3 linked regions of the Rattus norvegicus genome follow. The protein of the gene in region 3 interacts with the protein of the main gene of each other region in a pairwise test. Links are inferred from orthologs where the notes say so. Each region holds a gene or a part of one and is shown on either strand. Other genes may lie near its edges. The genes, in order: Taf12, Kif5b and Prkar2b.

Evidence for each region.
Region 1: the proteins of Prkar2b (region 3) and Taf12 interact in binary tests that used the Homo sapiens proteins (3 or more experiments, as listed by UniProt). The two-hybrid records come from large-scale screens. The link is inferred for Rattus norvegicus from reciprocal best matches to the Homo sapiens genes PRKAR2B and TAF12.
Region 2: the proteins of Prkar2b (region 3) and Kif5b interact in binary tests that used the Homo sapiens proteins (3 or more experiments, as listed by UniProt). The two-hybrid records come from large-scale screens. The link is inferred for Rattus norvegicus from reciprocal best matches to the Homo sapiens genes PRKAR2B and KIF5B.

Annotation. Positions count from the first base shown.
Region 1 is NC_086023.1:149,755,693-149,759,796, reverse strand, and holds the start of Taf12 (transcription initiation factor TFIID subunit 12), read right to left. Parts: upstream 2,904-4,104; 5' UTR 2,828-2,903; intron 2,783-2,827; exon of another isoform or gene 2,758-2,782; intron 1-2,757. UniProt on the Homo sapiens protein: The TFIID basal transcription factor complex plays a major role in the initiation of RNA polymerase II (Pol II)-dependent transcription.
Region 2 is NC_086035.1:56,198,881-56,202,530, reverse strand, and holds part of Kif5b (kinesin-1 heavy chain), read right to left. Parts: intron 2,608-3,650; coding exon 2,503-2,607; intron 2,221-2,502; coding exon 2,075-2,220; intron 1,250-2,074; coding exon 1,101-1,249; intron 1-1,100. UniProt on the Homo sapiens protein: Microtubule-dependent motor required for normal distribution of mitochondria and lysosomes. Can induce formation of neurite-like membrane protrusions in non-neuronal cells in a ZFYVE27-dependent manner.
Region 3 is NC_086024.1:54,290,536-54,294,454, forward strand, and holds the end of Prkar2b (cAMP-dependent protein kinase type II-beta regulatory subunit), read right to left. Parts: intron 2,656-3,919; coding exon 2,522-2,655; 3' UTR 608-2,521; downstream 1-607. UniProt on the Homo sapiens protein: Regulatory subunit of the cAMP-dependent protein kinases involved in cAMP signaling in cells. Type II regulatory chains mediate membrane association by binding to anchoring proteins, including the MAP2 kinase.

The sequences.
Region 1 (4,104 bases), on a different chromosome or scaffold from region 3:
ATGCCCCTTCCCAATAAGAAATGAACAAACAAACAAACCTTTAAAAATGGCACCAGAGGGGGTTGGGGATTTAGCTCAGTGGTAGAGCGCTTGCCTAGCAAGCGCAAAGCCCTGGGTTCGGTCCCCAGCTCCGAAAAAAAGAAAAAAGAAAAAAAAAATGGCACCAGAGGCTTTAGCTTTACAAATCCTCCCTTTGCTTTGTGGATGGTCTTTCTCGTGTGCCGGCTGTACAAGTCTCATCACCCTTAGTAAAAGTCTTAAAAACTAATAGTAGCGGCTAAGCTACCGGAAAAATAATAGCTTCAAGGATGTTAAAAACGACAATAACAAAAAAAAAAAAAAAAAAAAAAACTTTTTCAGAGGATAATTTTGGGGTTGGGTCTCTCCTTCCATCACTCAGGACTCAGAGACTGAACTGAAATCATCCCTCTTTGTGACAATCACCTCAGCAGAAGAACCACCTCACCTGATCTGCTTCTTTTTTTTTTTTTTCCTTTGAGATAAAGTCTCATGTTGACATCGAACTCCTAATTTTCCAGCCTCTACCTCCAATGTAATGGGATCACAGTCAAGCACTATGATGCTTGGCTATGTTAGCCCAAGCGTCCACATCTAGTACACACTAGCAATTAATGATGTCGCCCTAATTTTCAAAAAAATTAAATATAACCTGTTCTATTGTAGGAGTCTACAAATATTTCTCTTTCTACCTGGAATATCTATGCTTCTGTGAAAACACAGGAACTTAAGATCTCAAATACTATGGAGGTATCCTAAACGTCACAGTCCTTGACTTTAAAAGGAGTTAAGGAAGAAGCTGGGTATGATGGTGCAGCTTTGGATCCCAGGGCTCTGAAGGCAGAGGCAGGTGGCTCTCAGAGTTTGAGGCCAGCCTGGTCTACATAGCAATTTCCAGGCTAGGAGGAGCTAAATAGTTGGGGGAGGAGGGGTGTGCTTTCATTCAGTGGCAGGCTTTATAAATATTATGTATATTTTGCTCACATGCAAATTACACATGGAGGGGAGTCCACTTAGGAAAGTTCAAGACAGTTTTAGAGGCACATCTGGGGATAAGCTACTCCATACTATGCTGTTTAAGACAAACTCCTTATCCTCTATGGACATAAGACATAGTACAACATGACTAACCATACTTAACTGTGGAATTGTGATAACAAAGTAATGGAATGCTTGAAAGTGTTGAAGTTGTTCATGGTGGCACACACCTTTGATCCTAACACTCCCAAGGCAGAGACAGGAGGATTTCTTGGGGTTTGAAACCGGACTGGCCTACAGAGTGAGTTCCAGGATAGCCAGGGCTACACAGAAAAACTGTCTTAAAAAAGGAAGAAAGAAAGAAAGAAAGAGAGAGAGAGAGAGAGAGAGAGAGAGAGAGAGAGAGAGAGAAAGGAGGGAGGGAAGGAAAGAGAACAGAACAAACAAACAAAAAAAAAACCCAAAGTGATTAAGTTTTGCCCGATTCATCTGAGGAGGTTTCAGTCGTGGATCTTTATGAAGAGAAACGACAAGGTCCAAGTCACTCTTCTAAAAGCAATCCCTAGAAAATATTCTAGGTCACATTTACTTGTGAATTTCTCAACACATTTTTGAAAAGTAAGTAAAATGGGTTTCACTTAAGTTTGTTTCCTCACATTGTAACACAATGCCATAATAGGTACTAAAATATTAAAATCCATTAAAAAAATCCCTTCTGAGTTTGAGGGTAGAGATTCTAAAAGCATTTTATTCGAGTAATTTCAACCAAGCATCTCTTATTTGCTGTACATGGTAGAGGTCGGTATAACCGAATTGGCTCATAGTGATGCTAATCTTTCTTTGGCCCCTCTTTTCCTGAAATGTAAAAGAATTCAAAATGATCTTTTGCTGCCCTTCCATCTATGACAGTTTGCTTGTGATGCAGAGATCTGTGCTCCACAGGGACTGAATGGAATAGGGCTTAAGTAACATATATATATATATTTGAGTTCAACCGCTTTCAACTTTATATCTGATTCACAATAATGAAGAAAAACGAAGATGTTTTGTGTGGGTTTTCTAGATTAAGTATCTGACACAAGAAGCAGCCTAAATGCAAAAAGCCAAATAGGCAGCGCCAAGAAGTCTTCCCCCGAACATATCGTAACCCTCTGGGTACAGAGAACAGATCGCTAAATCTTTTCAACCTCTTTCCCTGGAAGGTTGATCTCCCAGCCTTCAAGGACCCCTTAGATCTTCCACTTTTAGGAGCTCGGGTCCTCACATCCCTGTCCCTTCAGAAACTCTTGAGTCTGAAAGCCCAGATCTTGTCCCCAAAGAAGACCCAGTCCTCACTGCCCATTTCTGTTCCCTTTCAAACTCAAGTCTTCTCTGCCTGCTTTTCTATCTCCAGTCCCTAAGTCTTTGCTGCCCTGTTTCTGAATCCTTAGGAGCTGGGACTTTACCGTTCTGCTTCTGTCTCTTAGGAGCCCGAGACTCGGGCTCCACTTTTACCTCTCTGGAGCCGGTGTCTTCACGCCCCGTTTCGTTCCTATCCTCGCTTCCTATAAAGTACAGGGTCTTCACCATCTGTGTCCCTCTCAGAAGGATTTCCCTCAGATGCTGCAGAACTCACATCCGTCCCCGTTTCCTAAGTCTCATTCAGAGCCCGAGTCCCCAACAGCCGCTGCTTCTGCGAGCCCGAACCCCTCAAGTCCCGTCCCAAGAGCCTGGCTCCTCACAGCCCCGTCTCTTCCACAACCTAGTTCTTCCAGCACTGACCCGCTGTGGGTCTGGGTCCTGACACCCTCCTCCCGCTCTTCATCCTCAACTGCCAGGGCCCAAGACTCACAGGCAGCAGCGTCTATCTCCCCATGATATGCGGAGACTGCCCCAGTGAAGCTTTCGTCTCAGCAGCCGGTCCGACTGCGCGGCCCTCCCCAAGCACTTCCGGCACCGCTCCCCGCCTCCAACCCGGAAACGCGCGGCTCTTCCGGCCGCCGGGCGCGCGCCTGACTAGCGCAGGCGCAGACCTTACTACAGCACGTGGTTGAGCTGTGAGCCTAGCGCCTATCTGGTCAGTTGTGTTTTCTGCTGTGTGTTGTGTGGCTGACTGGTGGACCAACTGCATCTCCTACCTCGGCGTGAATCCCTGTCCTAGATGTTTCTTTCCGACTCATATCTAGGTAACCAACGGCCTCGGAGGGCTTCCAAGTCGCCATTTTTGGTTGGTGCCTTTGTCGTGATATGAGGATGGGACCTCAGTTCGGCATAGATTTCAACTATTTGGCAGCTCGAGAACTTGGGGACTAGAGAGGCTGATTGTGCCTATTACTTAATTTCTAGCTCAATAACACTTGAACGAGAGCTGTCTGAGGAAGTGGTTAAGTCCTTCACTTGGAATGTCATGTACTAGTGGAAGAAACTTGTGTGAAATTCTACCTAAGAGATGTAGGTTCTCGACTTGAACTGAAAATTCTCACTCCAAAGCCCGGGATGGTCCAGTAACCGTTAAACCATTAAGTCCTGAGCTTTGAGTACATTTTTTGTTATTTTCCCTGTTCCAAGTGCTAGGCATGTAAGCAACACGCGGTTTTAGCCCCTGGCAAGGATTCTCAGTAAAATGGAAATCTTGCAAACCGATGTATACATGTCTAACATCTCAGCTACTAACGGTTCCCGCCCAAACAAATTCCATTCCATCTTTCCATCCTCTTCCTATTAGGCGCATCCACCCTCCCGGTCCAAAGTCCTGGATGCAAGAGCTTAGTTACCATTAAGTGGCAAACTGACTATAGTCTGATTTTTATTTTGGATTTATTTTATGCGTAAAAGTGTTTTGTCTGCATTTATATATGTATGCCATGTTCATGGCTGGTGCACAAAGAGGTCAGAAAAGGGCATCTGAAGCCTTGGAGTTGAAGTTACAGATAGTTGTGAGCCACCATGTGGCAACTGGCATTGACCATAGATCCTCTTCGAGAGTAAGAGATTCCTTAAACCACTGAGCCATCTCTCCAGCCTCAGCGTTATTTTTCTATCATGGTTCTCCTTAGAGAACAAATCAGTTGCTACTGTTGCATTCTTCCATCTTTTTTTTTTTTTTTTTTTTTGCTATGTGCTGGGTGT
Region 2 (3,650 bases), on a different chromosome or scaffold from region 3:
ATGTGTGTATCTAAAACTAACTACTCTTTCCCTCTGCAAGTTCCCACACATTCCTTCTGCTGTGACAAAGTATGTGGCTGGTGTTCCCTACTGCCATTTTAAGCAGATATGTTTGCGCTTTCAAAGGTACTTCAGTATCAGAAATTTCTCATTCTGGTTACTGTTTTCATTTCCTTCGATTGCTTTTCTGTGCAGGATCAGTTTTTACTCTCAATCTCAGGTGTTCACTCATCTCGGTTTCTTTAGGATCAACCATTGGCACTTCATCTTGATCTCTGTCTGTGGTGCCCTGTTTCCCTCAATGATCACTATCATGTTTGATGTCACCACCTACTTACTCTGTCTGAAGACAGAGACAGTGTACTCATATACATAAAATAAATAAATAAAAAATAAATAAAAAAAAAAAAAAAAAAGAAGAAGCCTGAGGCTGCAAGTTCCCACTTGGCAGTGAGGCAAGGCTGCAGGCATGTATAGAGCGGAGGGCATTTCCCTAGTCTTGGGGTCCAAGGTACACTAATTTCCTTATCTTTCTCTGTATCTTGGTTAAGGAATAGGGAGACACAAGTAATCTAGAAGCATCCTTTGTGGACACTGAAACTTTATTACTAAACCACATCAAGTTCTATTTTCGCCTGTTATTGAAATGAATGTTTCCATAAGGGGTGATAAGCAATGAGTCCCACCTCACCATCCTTTGTGCCTCTTCCTTAAGCAACGTCAGCAGCTCTTAGCTGCTTTTCTTTCTGCTCTGATCCTAAGTTTTGTTTGATTTTTAGAATGGTACACTCTTGCCATGTAGAGTCAGTTCTACTTCCCATGTGCTGGGATCACAGGCCTATACCACAGAGCTCTGTCCTAGATCTGGACATGCTTACCTGCTACTGAACTCTTCCTAATCTAGGCACCTACTGTACTCTAGCATCTACGGCTCTTACTTACTGTTTGAGACAACATAAAATTTAAATGACACATCTTGATCTTTATTTGAAGACCTCTACATGAAAACAGGCTTTATTTAGCATTCATATAAAATCTCAAGTATGTAAAAGAGCCCTAAGTGAGAAAGTTTAAATGACAATGCTTAAGTGATTAATTACCGTTACGCCATCGGTTGAGCTCGTTTTCCAGCCACTGAATGGTGTTCCGTAGAGTCTTATTTTTTTCCTTTTCTTTTTCATACTTCTTTTTCCACTGCTCTGCAGTTAACTCTACGTTGACACAGACTGTGTTCTTTATTGTTTTGGCCCTTAGTGATGCAATTACAGAAGAGATGACATGTGTAAGGAAGAGTAATCATTACAGAAAGAAAAAAAAAAAAAGGATATGACTGAAAGTATTTTTAAGTGACATTCCTGTTTAATACATAATATAGCTAAGTAACAAATTGTTCAAGATTATCTAGTTCTTTCTTAGAACAAATTCTAAAAAAATATCTATTCACAAATAAATTTCTATCTGCACTCAATCTTTGGTAACACTAAAAATAACAGGCTGGAGAGTTCAATTCCCAGCAACCACATGGTGGCTCACATCCCTCAGTAACGAGATCCGATGCCCTCTTCTGGTGTGTCTGAAGGCAGCTACAATGTACTTATATAGAATAAATAAATAAATCTTTGAAAAAAAAAATCAAAACTAAGAAAATATATTTATTTTGCCAACTCACTTGGCAAGGCTGAAGCAGTAACCTACGTTACCTATCCCTGCAGGTCTAAGATAAGGCTGTCGGTGATTTTCACAAAGTAGCTATTTCATGTATGTTAATCGAGCCTTCAAGTGTGTCAGTGAGCTTCACACAGGCTCATATATTTGAAAAGCTTTTACTTCGTCATCTAACTCAGACATTTACTTTCATCAGAAGAAAATTAGACAATGAAATTTCTCAATTAATGTTAATGTCTGTGAAAAGTTAAAGTTTGTTAGGTCTAAAATACAGCTCTAACTTATATGACCTATGTCCTGATTCACAGTACAGGATCTAGCTCTCTGACAGTATGTCTGGATTTGAGTAGTGGCTATCTGACATTAGTAACTTTAATGCTATGTCTTTAGGCTTTGTATTTCAACAAACCTTTGACCAAAGAGGAGTGTTGACTTTGTCTCAGACTCATTGTAAGATGACGGAGAGCAGCAAATGACAATAGTGGTCCTACAGTTGCCACCTAATGAATCTTGAAGAATTCTGGTCATTTTACTGTCTCGATAAGGAACATAGGTCTACAAATAAAAACAAAGACAAAACAACAAAAATAGTAGGGTTTATACAATAATATTTGCTGTGTAACTTTTGGTCATCCTGTTTCTGCCTCAGGCACTGTGATCAGATATGCTTTCCCAGGCCTCGATTATTTCATTTATTGTAACTACTTGATTTCAAGATGGGAGTGGGTTTGTATAACACTAAACTCAGAAGACATCACACACTCATTCAGTTTTACACTTGTGTATATTCTCTATAAATAACTACCCATAAAAAAGGGAACAGACTTGTATACTCACACTGCCTTCTGCCAAAGCAGAAATGACATTTCCAAGTGCAGAAAGTGACTTGTTGATGTTCTTAGCTTCATCCAGCACGGCACCCTCAGCTCCAGTTTTACTAACCTATGTAAGATTACATAATAATGAGATAAACTTCTAAGTTTAAGATAATTTTCTTTCAACTTTCCAAATAGCCACCAATAAACAGTAGTATAAAATTACAAAAGGGAAGGGTGTTCACACTAAGGACTAGAAATCCTTAAATACCCACTATTCTTCTAATAGCCTAGTCAGAGAACTAGTTGGACAAGAATGCGATTAGAGTAATATTAAATTTTATTTCTAGTGTGCTTTGGTCAATAATAAAATTACATGTAAATCTGTAGTCTTCACTGTTATCTCTTTACTACATTATAAAACAACAAACTGGAAATCACCTAAACCATACACAGACATAATTTGCTAAAAATAAAAGAGAGTTCTAATACTACATAAGCTAACATGTGACTAAACCTAAATGGCTCCTAAATAAGAGCTGTGGTTCTAATACATAAGCTGTGTGTAAGACTTTTGGTGAACAAGACTAGGTACATCATTCTAAATCAGAAGATGCAAAATAGCATAATGGCCACAGAAGTCTTTATTAAAACATTTATATATTCTAATTTTTGACCCTTCTATACCCATGGATTCAACTAGCCAAGGTTGAGAAACATTCCAAAACAAACTTCATTTTTACTCAACATATGGTTTGTTTCTGGCCATGTCTTTAAACAATATAGTTTAACATCCACCTGCGTGGTCTCACTACATTGGGTATCAGTAGTTGTCTAGAGAGTAGTTACATACAGAAGAATGTGTATAGGGGCTATGCAAACACTACATCATTTCATACGTGACCTGAGCATCTATGGATGTTGGTATATTTATGAGGGATCGTGTGAGAGATCCTAAAATCAATCTTTATGATATCAAGGGACAAAGGTAAAGCCAAATCAGAATGTCACAGAGAAAGTTACCACGGATAGAGGTAACATACAAGAGATAAAGAATAAAATTCTAATGGCATATGCTAACAAGTTATCAATAAGAACATACATGTTAATCCAAACACCCTACAGACTGGACCAAATGTAGCTAAATGACAGTTACTTGGGAACAGGTGA
Region 3 (3,919 bases):
ATGAAGACATCTCAGCACATTTCTCAGCAAAATCCTAAGTCCCTGTTTCTCTGCAGTCTCCACACAAAACCAAACATGCTATGTGGTTTGGATGCCAATGTGAACAGGATCCCAACAGAGTCATCCAACTTCTGCTGCAGGTAATATTGTTGTTAAAACATAGGTGCTAAGCCCAAATTCATACTGATAAACAAGAGACACACACACCCTTCTAAACATATTCAAAGCAAAATGAAGAATCTTGTTCTCAAAGACTGCCTAACACGTGTACCTAAGGGCTGCGGTCTTTGAACCAAAACCTCATCAGAGAATTCTCAAATACTTGCTACTGACTTAATAATGGCACCCACAAGCCAAACATGTTTTAACTGGGAAGCTTTACACATAAATTCCCCAGTAAGTCATATTTGGCCAAAATAATATGCAACATACCACAATAGTTAAAAAACTTAACAAGTGGTTAAAATCTTACACAGACCTACAGAGGTGCAAACCTATACTTTCTGACTGCTGTATGCTATGGGGTTATAGCTTCCACGAGCCTGGTGTGTGTTTGATGCATTTATACCCTAGACAAGCCATAATGAAGAAAACAATGCTTGCAACATTTATTATAAAAGTGTGCTTTATTATAAGGAAAATTTAAATATAACCAACAATACTGAAAATAACACAGCTGGCCTCTGTAGCCTTGGTTGGGGCTCTTTATTCCACAGGCATTGGTTTCCGTGAACGTCAACACTCAGCCTATGCAATGCAACCAAAGAGAACTTGGAAAAGAGAGAAAAGAACACAGAAGGATGAGCCAGGAATTTGGGTGGCTTTTGTTCTTGTTTTTCTGTTTTTGGGATTTGTTTCTTGTTTGAACACATGGCTTCTGAACTCTGAAATAGAAAACATGTTACCTTCATGTAGAGAGCTTTTTTTCCTACGTAAAGATTTTGCAAGACTGACATTTCAAAAGCACGGCTAAAGGTGTAGGTAACAGTATAGCGTACTTTAACTTCTTGTTTACACATGATGCATTTAACACTAGCCACGTTTTCACGTACACGTAGGACTGTAAACATTCTCTTGTAAGATCGAGACAGTCACAGATGAATTTAACATACATGATACCTCTGTTCCTTAGAAACATGTTCCCCAAAGTAAAATTACCCATTTCAACATGAATTAAACTGGTGAGAATTAATGCCTTTAGACATTTGGTCAAGGGGCCTGAAAATCACATAAAAGTATATTGCTTTGGTTTTAACAATTCATCGTATTTGGCATAAAAGTAAGTATCTTGTTGACCAAAAAAAATTTTGTACTTTGTGTACTTTTAACTGTGGGCTGACTTTAAAGCTAAGAACAAGGCCTAATAAGGTGTAGGATAGAGAAAAATCCCATTAATACTCATGTATGGCTTTGCTTATACACAGACTTCTTTCCACCACCGTTGTTGAAGTTTTTGAAGGTTGGAAAGGGCAAACGCACTTGATTGGCTGCTGACCAATGTGCTCGCTGGCTGGTGCTCAGGACAGGGAAGGGCAGGGGACCACAGACACACACACAGGGTCGCAGCACTGGGACCTACAGAGCAAAGCCATGTTCTGTGGGCGTGGGCTAAGAATCCCAAATGTCTTTTGATAGGGAAGCTTTCATTTTTCTGAATAGAAGATTCGGGACTTTTAGAGGACAAAACAAATTGTCAGATTAAGATGAAATTGCCTTGAGAACCAATACAACCCTTGTGACATTAAACGTCAAAATGCGATCTGTAAGGAACCCAGGAGGTTGCTAAATACAAAGCGGGAAGCGGTGATGATGGAGAAAGGATAATGAAAGACGCAGTTATGAGCTTTCATCCTAAAAGGCTCTCTGCCCAATCATCACAACAGCTAAATTACCAGGCCCCAAAAGCCACTCAACTACCCAGGCTGCTGGCTGACAGTTGTCAAAGAAGTTGAAATGTAGTTTATTGCAAAAATATAAAAAATTTTAAAATTGCATATGATTTCCACACCATGTTACCGATAGGCCAAGGCTAACACATAACTTACTAAGCCAGAAAAGGTAGAAAATGAAATGATTGGCAATCTTACTGTCTGACGAGTTATAAAAAGAATGTGAGTGCACAAGCCACTGCCAGCTTCCCTCGTAAAGGGGCAGAGTCACTAACACGATACTTGAATAATCCAAACACACAGGTCGGCCTATGAGTACATCTTTTAATTATCTTCTTAAACATGTATGCTCTCAATATATTATAACCATTTGAATAAACCTTTCAGTCAGTTTTATGAAATAGAAAGTCGTTTTTATGATTATGTTAATTTATGAACTACCCATTAGAAAGTGATGTTAAAGCCTACTATTAAATCACTACTGTTCACTGATATATTGTAAATGGTTTCTGTTTAAAAAAGGAAAACCTGAAGTCACAGAAAATGCTTGATCTACACGAACACATCCTCGGTGGACTAACCACTGCTATGTAACTGCTTCACTAACGCGCTTTCTTCCCCACACTTTTGCTTCATGCAGTGGGCTCAACAATATCCATGTTTGTCCCAAACAGTGCAACTAATTGCTCCTCATAGGTGGCGATATTCCTCTTCATAATTTCCATGCAAGGTCCCAGAAGCCTCTCAAATGCTTGCACATCCATGGCTGAGAAAAGAAAAAACTAAATTAAAAACACCATCCCGTGAAGACTCAGGAATTGCTAGGTCATTCCTTTCTACTACGCCGTTGCAGTTTTGATATATCGACCGTGCTAGAGAATTTCAGGTAGGTATTATGAAGACACGGGGGGGGGGGGGGGGGGAGTTGAAATGTTCAACTTCGAAAAACGAAATAGGGACATCTCTGGCGACAGTCTAAAATGCTTTGACAGATGGTGGCCTTGTGGTGCAGCTGATGAGGAAATGAGGCTCTCAACACGGCAAGATGAACTTTGATGCTTCACCCTAATAATATAAACACCCCAATGGTGGTACAGGAGCGTCTCCTGCCCTGTCCTCAGGGTTTACAAGATCATGCTGTGAAGCTTTACGCATTTATACCATGGCTGATGCAACTCATAAGGCCTTCACCTGCTTCAATCAACACTTGCTTCCCTGCCTGTCCGCCCTGCCTGTCTGCCTTGTGCATTTCAGTGTTTGGCTTTGAGGCAGCCTGACTATGTAGCTCACGCTGACCTTGAACAAACTGGACTTAAATTCAAGATCCTCAAGCTTCGGGTGCTGGAATTACAGAGGGGAGACAGCAAATCTGGCTGACACGTGCACTTTAAAACCGAGTTTATAATACATAGTGGGAAACATCACCCTGCTCTAACATACCAAACGCTCTCTCAAATTGGCAAAGTTAATAAGGGAGGGTTTATAAGGCTTTATGGGCATTCTCGCATGGTATGGCAGGCACGTGAATGAAAATGAAAGCGGCCTAGCCATGTGCTCGGAGCCTCTAAATAGGCAAATGAACTCCTTCTCTAAACAAGTAGCCCATAGCTAGATAAAAACATTAGCCATCTGAGAAATCAGATTAGCATTACACTGAGAGTCCATCTACCCTCCTCCCCAGAAAGAGTAGCCTGTCATCAAGAAACAACAAAAGCTGGCAAGGTCTCTTGAATATGCATTACTGTAGCTACTGGGAAATCCTACAGAAGTTCCTCATTAGACTAAAACCAGACCTATGACTAGGCTCTACCAGTCCTAGGCACATGTCTAAAGAAGTCAAAATCAACATTCGATAGAGCTCTCCACCTGCCCATGTCTACCGCAGCACTATCCACGATAGCCAAGTTACAGAGTCAGCCTAAGTATCCCTCAACAAATAGAAAAAGAAAATACACATATATGAGGGAGTGCCACAGGCCATAAAGAAAAACAAATTGTGTCATTTGCAGGAAAAAGGACAAAGCTTGGGT